Linked DNA regions of Saccharomyces cerevisiae S288C. The gene in region 3 interacts genetically with the main gene of each other region. Each region holds a gene or a part of one and is shown on either strand. Other genes may lie near its edges.

What was found.
Region 1: mutations in VPS71 (region 3) and SIF2 together harm fitness more than expected from each alone (negative genetic interaction), as found in Saccharomyces cerevisiae (5 studies listed by BioGRID, with this or other methods).
Region 2: mutations in VPS71 (region 3) and RTT103 together harm fitness more than expected from each alone (negative genetic interaction), as found in Saccharomyces cerevisiae (5 studies listed by BioGRID).
Region 4: mutations in VPS71 (region 3) and SET2 together harm fitness more than expected from each alone (negative genetic interaction), as found in Saccharomyces cerevisiae (11 studies listed by BioGRID, with this or other methods).

Annotation. Positions count from the first base shown.
Region 1 is NC_001134.8:445,778-449,884, reverse strand, and holds SIF2 (Sif2p), read right to left. Parts: upstream 2,177-4,107; coding exon 569-2,176; downstream 1-568. Other genes in the region: YMC2 (organic acid transporter), read right to left, coding at 1-218; exocyst subunit EXO84, read left to right, coding at 2,562-4,107. UniProt on the Saccharomyces cerevisiae protein: Antagonizes telomeric silencing in yeast. May recruit SIR4 to non-telomeric sites or repression.
Region 2 is NC_001136.10:1,037,750-1,041,364, forward strand, and holds RTT103 (Rtt103p), read right to left. Parts: upstream 1,761-3,615; coding exon 531-1,760; downstream 1-530. Other genes in the region: Smc5-Smc6 complex subunit NSE3, read left to right, coding at 1-357; HRQ1 (ATP-dependent 3'-5' DNA helicase), read left to right, coding at 1,979-3,615. UniProt on the Saccharomyces cerevisiae protein: Involved in transcription termination by RNA polymerase II and in regulation of Ty1 transposition.
Region 3 is NC_001145.3:194,413-197,494, forward strand, and holds VPS71 (Vps71p), read right to left. Parts: upstream 1,344-3,082; coding exon 501-1,343; downstream 1-500. Other genes in the region: carnitine O-acetyltransferase CAT2, read left to right, coding at 1-388; YML040W (gag protein), read left to right, coding at 2,216-3,082. UniProt on the Saccharomyces cerevisiae protein: Participates in the catalytic exchange of histone H2A for the H2A variant HZT1, an euchromatin-specific factor, leading to chromatin remodeling and changes in transcription of targeted genes. Indirectly involved in vacuolar protein sorting.
Region 4 is NC_001142.9:101,659-106,211, forward strand, and holds SET2 (histone methyltransferase SET2), read right to left. Parts: upstream 2,771-4,553; coding exon 569-2,770; downstream 1-568. Other genes in the region: ASG7 (Asg7p), read right to left, coding at 1-121; ERG20 (bifunctional (2E,6E)-farnesyl diphosphate synthase/dimethylallyltranstransferase), read left to right, coding at 3,356-4,414. UniProt on the Saccharomyces cerevisiae protein: Histone methyltransferase that trimethylates histone H3 'Lys-36' forming H3K36me3. Involved in transcription elongation as well as in transcription repression.

The DNA.
Region 1 (4,107 bases), on a different chromosome or scaffold from region 3:
TCCAACGTTGTTGTTCTTGTGGTGGCTGTTTGAAGCCTAACTTTTGTTGTATCAAACGGTTGCCCTACAAGAACTTGTGCAATACCACCGATGGTACCCGCAAAAATATCCTTCAACACACGATTAGAACTTAACTCTCTCTTCTCATTCGGCGTGGTAACTTTCTGTTGATCTTCCAATTCATCCAAAAGCTGCGGCGTAGGAAATTCTTCACTCATGACTAACTGTAATTGTAATACACGAAATTATTGCGCCGCTTTTTTCTGTTCTTTATGGCTACCCCTATTTATCAATTACAGTTGTATCATCCAAGAGGTGAAAACTAATTAAAGAAACTTATTTTAACACAAGGTATAAAAAATTATAAAAAAGCAATGCTCATTGTCTTCTCTCATCGCGAGCGGCCGTTATCTTCAAAGTGATGACTCTTCGAGATTCCTGCACAACGTCACTCAAAGGCGGCCCGCGACGTTTTCCATTGCGAAATTTTTCACTTTTCACCTTTTGTAAACAAAGAAATAACAATAAGAATGATAAAATTCATCTGTTTATGTACTGTACCTAGTTATTATATGGCTACAACTGAACCTTCTTGAAGCGAGTATGCTACAGAAATCTTGTTTCCCGCACAGTTCCATGACAGATCAAATATATAATCATTGTCTTGGCTGCTTTGGTAGCTAGCGTAGAGGGGAATTGGTAATGGATTCAAAATCCCATCACGGTTACCATAAAGACTTCGTGACTTGCTGTTCAGTTTTTTTAAATCGTAGACGTTTACCTGCCCATCCATGAAAGCAACTGCGTACTTCTGTCCATCTTGTGATATTCTTCCAGCAAAAATTGGGACACCATCCACGATTGATAGAGCCAATAGCGTATTCTGCTTCAGCGACCATAGGCGAACGGAGCCATCCATCGAGCAGGATATTACCTTATCATCACCGACCCATGATGCCGATACTATGCTTTGTGAGTGTCCGTAGAAGCAATTCTGAGAATTGCCGTTACCGCCATGCCATATTCTTAGAGTACCATCGTCTGAGGCACTAAGTAGAAGTTTATTGGTGTCATTGAACTCCAAAACGCTGATAGGTCCATGGTGTCCAATAAGTTTACCAGTGGGCGTTTTTTCTGTAATTTGGTATACAAATATAGCACCTTTAGGGCCAGGAATGACAAATTTGTCATCGTCTACCCATTCAACGTCAACCCCAAGTGAACCATCGCCACTATGGTTCTCTGCGTTGATGGATGAGCCACCGGTTTCTTTTAATTCAAAGTGCTGCATGACGGTCCCGCTTATAACATTCCAGAGTATAGTGACATTTTCCACGTCCATGGATATGATATGTGTTCCATCTTTGTTCCATTTAACGGATACTATAGGTGCTCTATGAAAATTTAAAACATTCAGAAGTGCCCCCGTCTTATTCCATAGTCTTAGCTCACCATTTTCTACACCCGTGACAATTGAATTACCATCGTGTGACCAAGCAAGACATGTGACTTGATTCGTCGTTTTACCACTACTTGCACTCAGAGCAAAAGGATGTCTCAACTCCGCTATTATCGTGAGTTTCCAGTATTTTTTCCCTTCTTGATCGGTTTCTACTATCCTCGCTAGTCTTGCAACAGAATTTTTTTCACCGTATGCGAGTATAGATTCATCCAATGGATTCCAAGTGGAGGAAACAATATTATCTAATTTTACTATCTCCTTCAGTATTTTGACAAATCCGTCTAGGTCATCACTACTGTCAATAGAATTAGTATCGTCCTCTTGGGTTTCTCTTTCAACAGTACTAGCGCCATCTTCACCTGCTTTATTACTCTCGGAATTGGTTTCCAAAGTGAACCTTCCTTCAGAAGAGATCTCAGGAAATTTTTCTTTATCTATTTGCAGCGCCTGAACCAAATTGAAATCTTCAGAAAGATGATGTTCATTTAAAGCGCTGATATCACCTTTACTATCAACCATTAACTCACTTTCTGTATACAAGATTCCCCTTTGTACTAGATTCACCAGTGTACCCAAAGGAATGTGTTCTTTATACTTCTCATCAAATTCCAATACTCTTGTTTCATCCTGCAATGCTAATGCACTCACCTCGTGTCCCATCTCTTGACAATACCTCCATATCAAGTAGTTTAGTTCTTCACTTGTTATACTCATTTTCCGTGTGATGGGCCTTCCCTACCTTTTTTTTGTTTCTGTTATTTTTATCTGAGTTAGCAGTTGTTAGTGTGGGCTGTACACTTCTTTGGAAAAAAAAACCTTCAATTTCGCACCAAGGTGTTTAAATTGTTCTCACTAATTGCAAATCAAAACGAATGGTCTTGCATATCTCATAACCTTTTCAACATGAATACATTCCTAATCATTTTTGTTTATTTCTCGTTTGCTAAGTTCCGCTCCATGAAAATAGATGACTGGAAAAAGAGACTAGAGACTGCAGTTAATAGTATATTTGTAAGACCTTGAGCAAAGCCGAATGAACAAAAAGCCTTCATATTAGACCAGGTAAGAGACTGAAAGTTGAAATATTTGTACTGTGAAAATGGTTGAGTTTTCTTTGAAGAAGGCCAGAAACAATTGGAAGCATGTAAAGAAGTCTGCAAGCTCTCCTGCTAAGCAAAAGACACCTCCATCGCCTGCTAAGCCTAAACAAAAAACAAAAAAGAACCCTTATAGTGATCTCAAGGATCCGGCTACCAGTTATACGCTACCAACAATCAATGCAAGGGAGAGAAGTAGGGTAGCAACTTCAATGCAGAGAAGACTATCAATTCATAATACAAATTATGCTCCACCTACACTAGATTACTCAATGCCCCTACCTGATATGCCAAACATGATAGTTCCCAATGATAATGTGGATAGTAGTCATAATAATAGTAGTTTCACCACTGAGAACGAATCGGTAAGCTCTAAAGGCCCTTCCAACAGTTTAAATCTTTCAACTGCCGATCTCTCCCTGAACGACAGCTCCTATAATAAGGTGCCTGCTAGATCAGCAATGCGAAATACTGTCAATCCTTCCGGCAGTAATGATCCTTTCAATAATAGCACGTCGCTAAGAAAGATGTTGGCAAACCCGCATTTTAATGCTAAAGATTTTGTTCATGATAAACTAGGCAATGCGAGTGCCATTACTATTGATAAATTTACCTCAAATTTAACAGATTTATCGATACAGGTCCAAGAAGAAGTAAAGTTAAATATCAATAAATCATATAACGAAATCATGACGGTAAACAACGACCTAAATGTTGCTATGTTGGAGCTTAAAAGGGTTAGAGCAAATATAAATGATTTAAACGAGGTTTTGGATCAGTGCACCAAAATAGCTGAAAAAAGGTTACAATTGCAGGATCAAATAGATCAAGAGAGACAAGGCAATTTTAACAATGTTGAAAGTCATTCTAATAGTCCAGCGTTACTTCCGCCTTTGAAAGCAGGACAAAATGGGAATCTCATGAGGAGGGACAGATCGAGCGTCTTGATATTAGAGAAATTTTGGGATACGGAACTGGATCAGCTGTTTAAGAACGTTGAAGGTGCTCAGAAGTTTATCAATTCTACGAAAGGAAGACATATTTTAATGAATAGTGCCAATTGGATGGAATTAAATACTACCACTGGTAAACCCTTGCAGATGGTACAGATTTTCATTTTGAATGATTTGGTACTTATCGCCGATAAATCAAGAGATAAGCAAAATGACTTTATAGTAAGCCAGTGCTATCCTTTAAAGGATGTCACTGTCACGCAAGAGGAATTTTCCACTAAGAGGCTACTTTTCAAGTTTAGCAATTCGAATTCAAGTTTGTATGAATGTAGAGACGCAGACGAATGCTCTAGGTTGTTGGACGTTATAAGAAAGGCTAAGGATGATTTGTGCGACATATTCCATGTAGAAGAGGAGAACTCTAAACGTATTAGAGAGTCCTTTAGATATTTGCAATCTACGCAACAAACCCCAGGTAGAGAAAACAACAGAAGCCCTAACAAAAACAAAAGACGTAGTATGGGGGGTTCAATCACTCCTGGCCGAAATGTAACAGGCGCAATGGATCAATATCTTTTGCAGAACCTAACTCTAT
Region 2 (3,615 bases), on a different chromosome or scaffold from region 3:
AGCGTCATTTTATGCATTGTTTTCTTCTCTAAGAATAACATATTACATCAGGAATTGATCAAATTTCTAGAGACATTTGGCATTCCAAGCGATGGTTCAAAGATTGCTATACTGAACATTACTATTGAAGATTTGATAAAAAGTTTAGAAAAGCGCGAATATATAGTCAGATTGGAGGAGAAATCCGATACCGACGGGGAAGTGATATCATACAGGATAGGTAGAAGAACTCAGGCTGAGCTTGGACTAGAGTCTCTTGAAAAATTGGTGCAAGAAATCATGGGCCTTGAAAAGGAGCAGACTAAAAGTTTGCACGATGATATAATAAAAAGCATTGGCGATTCATATTCTATATAGCATTGCATAGGTGTCCATGTAGTTTAGGTGCGCATCTTTTTTGTCGAGGAAATAGTGAAGATGAATACGAAATAAACTATGGGCAAATAGTTACGAAAAAAGACTGGACTTAAACGGGTTACTATATATTTGTATAAGTTATCTCCTTGTTTTCTTTTTACTCAACCATCATATTAATTTGCAAGCTTACTTAACAAGTCTTGTATACTAGAAGAAACCCCTCCGGAATTCTCAACACCTTCGTCGGTTTGGGCGCCGACGTGGCCTTCTATATCTAACTCATAATGTCCATCCTCACTGTTGAAAGTACCATCTTCACTCGTCTTCGAATCAAGATGAACCTTTTTTTCCGGTATGTCATTAGCGTCATCATGACCTATCATATCATGTGTTCGTTTCATACCAAATTGATTGTCACTAGGATTATGAGTAGAGTTTTTATGTTCGCTATCTGTCTTTTCTACAACTTCATTCTTCTTATCTGTGGTGCTAATATTAGTAACGCCATAATTGCTGTCATTGGATCTATCATCGTAATTTTTGTCATCATCATCATCATCATCATCATCATCATTATCACCATCATCGTCATCGTCATCTCCATCCCCCACTTCATACGTAGGAATAATATTGTCTTCATCAACGTTTTTATTTAATCTGGATGGGTCTTTAGCAGATAAAACGAATTCTATTTCACTTAACATATTCTGTTCCTCATCTAGATGCCTTTTTTCATCGTCCAGTGTGCTTTGCAGTTTATGGATACCGCTTTCTCTTTTTAGAATTGATTCATTTATTATATCTTTAGCCATGTTCCCAATCTTACTTATTGTTTTAAAATTTTCCTCGTAAACTGAGCTGGATGGATCCAATTCATCTGATGATTTGTCAAATCTCATTTTCATCGCGCAAACATTATGGTGCATTTTCACTAATTTTTCATAGTCCTTAGCAAAATCTTTCAATTTCTGGGGTAACACCAACGCTTCCACTGGTGAGCTCTCGGTTTTAAGACTTCTTTCTATGTCATTGACTACCTGCTTGGAAAATATATTTCTTTCTTTTAGTATATTCACAACTCTTGACAACTTCTTTTTTAGGTCCCTCGGAAACTCTTGATTAATTCTTCCCAATACTTCTGCTGCCACCTTTCCAAAGGAATCTTGAAATTGAATAATTTTTTGACCTTTAGCCTGTTGAACAACATGATTCATTAAGTAAAGACCCAATAACTTCCTTCTTGTGTTTACACTAGGCCTTAACATGTATTCTTTCCACATTTCTGCCACTTTGGGAGCATCTCTATACTGTAGAAGCAACCACTTTGAGGCACTGGAAATAGATTCTTGGGAATCTTCCAACGTATTTAATTTGGTTGTGAATTGCTCAGAAGAGAAAGGCATACCGTCTATTTTAATCTTGGATTATTGCTTTCTTCAAATTTTCTACCTCTTCGTTAAAACCTTCTTCGCTTGTACTTATATTATTATGTTGGCTTTTCAAGTTTATATATTTTTAAAGGAAAAAAATAACTTTTTCATTTTTCGTTATAAAACAGAACCGTTATACATATTGAGATGGTTAAGGTCGTAGAAAAGAAATGTTCATTTGAGAAGGAAAAATGGAGGAAGGACCTATCAAAAAGAAACTGAAGTCAGCAGGTCAAGGGAGTGGAAAGACCGATGCCTTTAGAAATTTTGAACAATTTTTTTTCCGCCTTAATACTCTTTACACCTTTTTGATTTGCAGAAAGCATGTTGTGCCTACATTTAAAACACTTTGTGGACCTATAGAAACTGCTTTGAAAAGAACTGTGACGAAAGAAGACCTAGCCATGGTTATGGCGCTAATGCCAAGAGAATGTGTTTTCAAGTATATTGATGAGAACCAAATTTATACTGAAACTAAGATTTTTGACTTCAATAATGGCGGCTTTCAGCAGAAGGAAAATGACATATTTGAACTGAAGGACGTTGATGACCAAAATCAGACTCAAAAATCTACTCAGTTACTTATATTTGAATTTATAGACGGTACAATGCAACGCTCATGGTCTGCAAGTGATAGATTTTCTCAAATAAAGATACCAACATATACTACGGAGGAAATGAAAAAGATGATTTCTAAAAGGGAAGCTCTCTTTAAATCCAGACTACGGGAATTTATCCTGGAAAAGGAAAAGGCTAACCTTGACCCATTTTCTGAGTTAACAAATCTAGCGCAGAAATATATTCCAAGGGAGAGAGATTATGAGGATCCTATTGAGGCAATGATGAAGGCGAAGCAAGAAAGTAATGAGATGAGCATTCCCAATTATTCCAATAATTCAGTGATAACAACAATTCCTCAAATGATTGAGAAATTAAAAAGTACTGAATTCTACGCTTCTCAGATAAAGCATTGTTTTACAATACCATCAAGAACAGCGAAGTATAAAGGTCTCTGTTTTGAGCTTGCACCGGAAGTATATCAGGGTATGGAACACGAAAATTTCTACAGCCATCAAGCAGATGCGATAAACAGTCTTCATCAAGGCGAAAACGTCATTATTACAACATCGACCTCTTCAGGTAAATCCCTTATTTACCAACTAGCAGCTATCGATCTTCTTTTAAAGGATCCTGAATCAACGTTTATGTATATATTTCCAACAAAGGCCCTGGCACAAGATCAAAAAAGAGCATTCAAGGTAATACTTTCAAAGATCCCCGAGCTAAAGAATGCCGTGGTTGATACGTATGACGGCGATACGGAGCCAGAGGAAAGAGCTTATATTCGTAAAAATGCTAGAGTTATTTTTACCAATCCTGACATGATACATACCAGCATTTTACCTAATCATGCAAATTGGAGACATTTTTTGTACCATCTAAAGTTAGTGGTGGTCGATGAATTGCATATATATAAGGGTTTATTTGGATCGCACGTGGCATTAGTGATGAGACGTTTACTAAGACTGTGCCACTGTTTTTACGAAAATAGTGGTTTACAATTTATTTCATGTTCTGCAACTTTAAAGTCTCCAGTACAACATATGAAGGACATGTTTGGAATTAATGAGGTTACGCTAATACACGAGGATGGCTCACCTACAGGTGCTAAGCATCTAGTGGTGTGGAATCCTCCAATTTTACCTCAACACGAACGTAAACGAGAAAATTTCATTAGAGAGAGTGCAAAGATATTGGTACAATTGATATTGAACAACGTAAGAACCATAGCATTTTGCTACGTTCGTCGTGTTTGTGAATTGTTGAT
Region 3 (3,082 bases):
AAAAGAGCATTCTACGTACCTGAAAAATGCTGCAAATGGTAATGGTGTCGATCGTCATTTCTTCGGTCTAAAGAATATGCTAAAATCTAATGATGACCAAATTCCGCCCCTTTTCAAAGATCCCTTATTTAATTATTCTTCAACTTGGTTGATCTCCACATCTCAACTATCTTCGGAATATTTTGACGGTTATGGTTGGTCTCAAGTAAATGACAACGGGTTTGGACTGGCATACATGTTGAATAACGAGTGGCTGCATATCAATATTGTCAACAAACCAGCCAAGAGTGGAGCCAGTGTTAACAGATTACACTATTATTTATCTCAAGCTGCTGATGAAATTTTTGACGCCTTGGAAAATGAGAATAAACGAAAAGCAAAGTTATGAATTTTTCACCTTTCCTCTTCAATTAATTTGTGAATATTTTTGTTAAGTATCTACACTTACATACGTATAAATAGGGGAGAAAAAAGGGCTTACGAATACATACTGATCATTACTATCTATTTCTGCACCTAGTTTCATTATGCAATTTAAAACAACTTACAGAACAAATCTTATTTCCACAATTAACGCAACTTGAAATACTATCGTAGCCACCGCAAATAGAGCATGTCGTAATTAGGGGTAACACTTTGAAGTATCGTTTATTGTAAACATTGTGGTAAATGACATTCTTATCCATCAAGTTTAGCAGCGCAGAATCTAAAAACGAATGTAAATTTCTTTTTGAACTTAAAACCTTCTTTAACGCCACAATACGATTGGTATTCTTCCTCTTTGGTTTAGGTAGTTTTGTAGATTTATACGATAATTGTATTTCCCGTAAGGTTTCTGGTTTAAGCACCCAACCATGACCATACTTGGAATGCTCTTTTACAAAAGAAGAACCACCCATTAATGCAGAGAGACCATCCGAGGTCTGTGAGATCGGTTTGGTTGTTGATTCAATTCTATCTCGTGGTACGCCTGTGAGATCACTTAATAAAGTCGGTACATTTGGTAAATCCGAGAAATTTTCTGTGTTAAGTTCCATAAACCTCCTGTCCGACTGGAGAATCTCTTGTTGTGTGTACCTTTCTTCAAATGAATGGGAATTCTTACTATTTCGGTCATCCTGTCTGCTTATACTATTGCCATCTCCCTCAGATCTCGAAGTATATAACCTGGCCTCTAAATCTGCCAGTGAGTAGTTTATGCGCTTTACGGGCCTAGAGGTGGATATTGTGCCTTGCTTATTAATCTTCTTTGAAGTATATCGACGTGCTTGAGGATCCAATGACGTGAAATATATGTCAGGATTGTAAGTTTTCTTATCAATCTCTTCAACTAGCGCCTTCATTTCGCTGTTATGAGTAAGCGATCCGTTCTTTTTCTTCGATCTATCAATGATATCGACGTTACTATAGATTGAAAGGGCCGCTTCGACTTTTGTTAATACTCACAAAGATCATCATGTTCATTATAAAAAAAGTAGTTATTAATTATCTATTACCCGGATCAAAGTTATTTCTACAGAACACAAATATTTTATTGATTGCTTCGTTACATAAAGCAACGACTAAATAAATATAAGCTCTCTAGCTATTCCACCGACTTCACTTCCTTAATGAATGGTCGTTTTTGTAATACTCCAAAAAAAATATCAAAAAAAGGGGCGAGCTGGGAATTGAACCCAGGGCCTCTCGCATGCTTTGTCTTCCTGTTTAATCAGGAAGTCGCCCAAAGCGAGAATCATACCACTAGACCACACGCCCTTGTGAACTTGTGAATCTTAGCCACTAAGGAATCACCGAATAGTAAAAGTTTTCTGACAACTACAATATTAAGCCCTTAACAACAATAATGAATATTGAGTGCATAATGTTGAAATGGAACTCTAAAATATCATTTGTTTAGTAGTATTCGTGTTACTAGTTGTTGGAATAGAAATCAACTATCATCTACTAACTAGTATTTACATTACTAGTATATTATCATATACGGTGTTAGAAGATGACGCAAATGATGAGAAATAGTCATCTAAATTAGTGGAAGCTGAAACGCAAGGATTGATAATGTAATAGGATCAATGAATATAAACATATAAAACGGAATGAGGAATAATCGTAATATTAGTATGTAGAAATATAGATTCCATTTTGAGGATTCCTATATCCTCGAGGAGAACTTCTAGTATATTCTGTATACCTAATATTATAGCCTTTATCAACAATGGAATCCCAACAATTATCTCAACATTCACATATTTCTCATGGTAGCGCCTGTGCTTCGGTTACTTCTAAGGAAGTCCACACAAATCAAGATCCGTTAGACGTTTCAGCTTCCAAAACAGAAGAATGTGAGAAGGCTTCCACTAAGGCTAACTCTCAACAGACAACAACACCTGCTTCATCAGCTGTTCCAGAGAACCCCCATCATGCCTCTCCTCAACCTGCTTCAGTACCACCTCCACAGAATGGGCCGTACCCACAGCAGTGCATGATGACCCAAAACCAAGCCAATCCATCTGGTTGGTCATTTTACGGACACCCATCTATGATTCCGTATACACCTTATCAAATGTCGCCTATGTACTTTCCACCTGGGCCACAATCACAGTTTCCGCAGTATCCATCATCAGTTGGAACGCCTCTGAGCACTCCATCACCTGAGTCAGGTAATACATTTACTGATTCATCCTCAGCGGACTCTGATATGACATCCACTAAAAAATATGTCAGACCACCACCAATGTTAACCTCACCTAATGACTTTCCAAATTGGGTTAAAACATACATCAAATTTTTACAAAACTCGAATCTCGGTGGTATTATTCCGACAGTAAACGGAAAACCCGTACGTCAGATCACTGATGATGAACTCACCTTCTTGTATAACACTTTTCAAATATTTGCTCCCTCTCAATTCCTACCTACCTGGGTCAAAGACATCCTATCCGTTGATTATACGGATATCATGAAAATTCTTTCCAAAAGTATTGAAAAAATGCAATCTGATACCCAAGAGGCAAACGACATTGTGACCCTGGCAAATTTGCAATATAATGGCAGTACACCTGCAGATGCATTTGAAACAAAA
Region 4 (4,553 bases), on a different chromosome or scaffold from region 3:
CACTCATTTTACATGATTTGCATTGGCAACAGTATTTTTTCATCCAAGGGTTCTCATCGTTCTCGAAGGGCGCGGCTAGATGTTTTGTTTTATGCTCAATACTTGATGCTAAAGTAGTCATGTTTCTTGTCGTCATTCTTTGAATTTTTGTAGTCCTATGTACAAGCACAATATAAATGACAGACTAGTCAACGACGCTGACCCTTTATATGTTCCCCGTATATTCCTTGTTTTCATTGCAGTTAACATGTAAATTTCCCGATGCGGTAATTACGTTTCAAAGTCATTTCAACACTTCTATTGACAGCAAAAAAATAAAGACACTTGAAACGCACGATTTTTTCAAGAATAATATCTGTCGAGAAGATGTGTCACATTACCTATCATTACAGTGCTACTGATAGCCCACTAATGCGGATATTTAAATATATGCACCAAAAATGTATAAAGAAATAAACGGTAAAGACAAAAAAAATTACTTATTACAAATCGCAATTACAATTAAAGTACAAGACTTCCTTTGGGACAGAAAACGTGAAACAAGCCCCAAATATGCATGTCTGGTTAATTATGATGATGTTGAAGGTGGAGGAGAAGACATCCTTGTTGATGCTGATGATAATGCCAACGCCTTTTTTTGCTTCTTCTTGAGGATAATCTTATCCATGTATGAATTTATGAATTCTTTAACTTTATGCCTTTTTCCTTTGGTTAAGTCATCAGGCGGCGCTCTTGAAGAATCTTTTTTAAGTTCCTTTGTAGTTAGGATTTTCACGATGTCTTTAGCACATTGTTTAATGTTTTCATGATCAAATTGTTTACTTTGTGGGTTTTTTTTTATTAAGTTGGGTACAAAAGATGCAAAGAATTTATTCCAGTTGTGCTCTAGTCTTTGGGACTGGGAGACCGTTTTTCTTTTCAACCGCTTAGCCTCTTTTGCTTCCACTAGTTTTTTGGCCTCTTCCTTTTGTAACTCCTTCTGTTTGTTGGCCTCCGCTATAATATCCTCCAAAACGCTTTTTCTTTCATTCTCAAGCTTTAGCTTTTGCTTCAGGCTTTCCAATTCTTCTTGTTTGGCTCTTTCTAGCGCAATTCTTTCGTATTCCAGTCTTTTTTGTTTCTTCCTCTCATATTCTTCGTCACTCAGCTTATGTTTCTTAGAGTCTAAAGCGCCAGGCGTTTTTGGTATTCCACTGCTACTCGGAGAATTTACTTGTGTATTTGACCTTGAACTAAAGACCTTAGATGATCCCGAAGGTGGATAGTGTAGTTTCGTTTTCTGTTCTGCATTATAATACAATGGGCGACCGTTTTCGTGAATGATCTCCCAGCCTGGAGGTAATCTCACCCTTCTCAAATCTATCATTTTGCTGGCTGCGACGTTTATGTCTTTCTTCGTTATCCTTTTATATGTTTCAAATTTCGACCATTTCTCCAATAACTCATCGCAGTTTGGCTTTAAAAATGGAAACTTTGCAGGGAGAGTTTTTACTACATTATCAATTTGTGACGACTCAATACCGTTTCGAGTTGTCTTTGGTAATTCCAACAAAAAATCTAAAATTCCCTTTATAAACTTTATATCATCTTCTTCAGTCTCGTTTCCTTTTCCATCTACCTGAGGTTGTTCCGTGATAAACAATTTAAGCATTTTGCTAAAACAGGTGTAACCGTGTAGTTTGATAGCCTGATGACGAAGAGAGTCATCATCGATAGTAAAAAGTCTCTTCAAGAGTTTGGATGCAATTATCTTATTATCTTGCTGTAGTAATACACTCATGATCTTCGTCACATCCACTGGGCTGTCGATAGGTTGGACTTCCAATGATTGAAGAAATTCAATATTTATGTTCTCGTTTTCATTCTTTATTATTGGCTCACCGCTTAATTTCTTTAACTTTAGCCATTTTTTCTCCATGGAAACAGTCACTCCCAAGGCATCAGCGATGTTCTGGGGCAATAAAGATGCCGCATCTGTTTGAGTCTTACCACCGAGAAACCCAATACAATTTGGCTCCTCACAGTAGCATTTCTGAGCTTGAGCACCATAACGATCCACATTATAATCAAAAGTGATTTCCTCACCTTTTAAAATTTTTCTTTGAGCAAATATTCCCATGCGTAGCTTATCCTTAACAACCCATTTATTAACATATGCATTGGGGCTGCAAGAGTGATTGCAAAATCTGGCCAACGAACCCTTTATTGTGGCGTCAATGAATTCTCCGTTCTGTAACATCATAAAATAAAAATGCTTGAAATGACGTTGGTCATAGTCTATTAACCTATCTCTAAATTCCATCTCCTCGATCACCTCACCTTTGTACTCGTAAATGAACTGGTTGGCTTCTATGTCCTGTTCGGCTCTTACGCCATAACCTTTATGCTTTGTTTTAAATATGGCTATCGGAGCGTACTGCTTCTTTTGAAATCTCTGATTTTGACAATCATTACCACAAGATGAACACAAATCGTTGACACATTCTATCAACGTAAGTCTATTGATACAGTCAGAATCCTCGTCACAGGCATGGTTGACGCCATCTGAGAATTCTTCATAACAGTCACATTCCATGAAATCATTATTCTTAAATGTTCCGATCCTCTTGTTCGCATATATACAGTCATCCAAGTTTTCAAATTTGGTCAATGCTTCCTCTGTGAGATCAGGCTCTTGATCAAAAAGCCTTTGAGGTTTATGGCCCTCAGCGTTGTTATTCAGTATTTCTTTTTCATCTTCCGACGCACTCACACTTTGGTTCTTCGACATGATCACGTAAAACAACAACCAGGAAAGGAGAAAGGTTTGACAGCACGACTATGCAGTTTTCTATCACACGTTCGAAAGCCCCTTTGAAAAGCTGCCAACGTGACCTTACGTTCTGATAAATAACCACCAAATTACCAATAATTCTAATAGTTTCTTGGAATTTTTCACATGTTTGCAGTGAATAAAAAAAAAAAAACGTTAAAGGTGATATTGATCACGTGACAAATCTGTAAAAGTACGGATACTGTCCTTATTACTGCGATATACAGTGTGAGGTATTCTAAGCGGTATATTCACCGTCCTCTACACATATTTTAAATACTGATGAAGTGACAAGCAATATCATTGAGCATTCTTTTTTCAATAGTCGAAGTCAGCTTCTTCTCGTCGGTTCTAAACGAAACGCCTTGTTGAAAAAGACCGATAAATAGAGGAAGCAACGGCAGGAAATATATATAAACGCATGTCGAAACTAATACTTTATGATAGATTGTTCTTCTATCAGTTTTCATTTTAACTTTAAAAACTCAACCAACAGGTATTGGACTGACATAGGCACAATAAACTCAAAAATATTACGTAGAAATGGCTTCAGAAAAAGAAATTAGGAGAGAGAGATTCTTGAACGTTTTCCCTAAATTAGTAGAGGAATTGAACGCATCGCTTTTGGCTTACGGTATGCCTAAGGAAGCATGTGACTGGTATGCCCACTCATTGAACTACAACACTCCAGGCGGTAAGCTAAATAGAGGTTTGTCCGTTGTGGACACGTATGCTATTCTCTCCAACAAGACCGTTGAACAATTGGGGCAAGAAGAATACGAAAAGGTTGCCATTCTAGGTTGGTGCATTGAGTTGTTGCAGGCTTACTTCTTGGTCGCCGATGATATGATGGACAAGTCCATTACCAGAAGAGGCCAACCATGTTGGTACAAGGTTCCTGAAGTTGGGGAAATTGCCATCAATGACGCATTCATGTTAGAGGCTGCTATCTACAAGCTTTTGAAATCTCACTTCAGAAACGAAAAATACTACATAGATATCACCGAATTGTTCCATGAGGTCACCTTCCAAACCGAATTGGGCCAATTGATGGACTTAATCACTGCACCTGAAGACAAAGTCGACTTGAGTAAGTTCTCCCTAAAGAAGCACTCCTTCATAGTTACTTTCAAGACTGCTTACTATTCTTTCTACTTGCCTGTCGCATTGGCCATGTACGTTGCCGGTATCACGGATGAAAAGGATTTGAAACAAGCCAGAGATGTCTTGATTCCATTGGGTGAATACTTCCAAATTCAAGATGACTACTTAGACTGCTTCGGTACCCCAGAACAGATCGGTAAGATCGGTACAGATATCCAAGATAACAAATGTTCTTGGGTAATCAACAAGGCATTGGAACTTGCTTCCGCAGAACAAAGAAAGACTTTAGACGAAAATTACGGTAAGAAGGACTCAGTCGCAGAAGCCAAATGCAAAAAGATTTTCAATGACTTGAAAATTGAACAGCTATACCACGAATATGAAGAGTCTATTGCCAAGGATTTGAAGGCCAAAATTTCTCAGGTCGATGAGTCTCGTGGCTTCAAAGCTGATGTCTTAACTGCGTTCTTGAACAAAGTTTACAAGAGAAGCAAATAGAACTAACGCTAATCGATAAAACATTAGATTTCAAACTAGATAAGGACCATGTATAAGAACTATATACTTCCAATATAATATAGTATAAGCTTTAAGATAGTATCTCTCGATCTACCGTTCCACGTGACTAGTCCAAGGA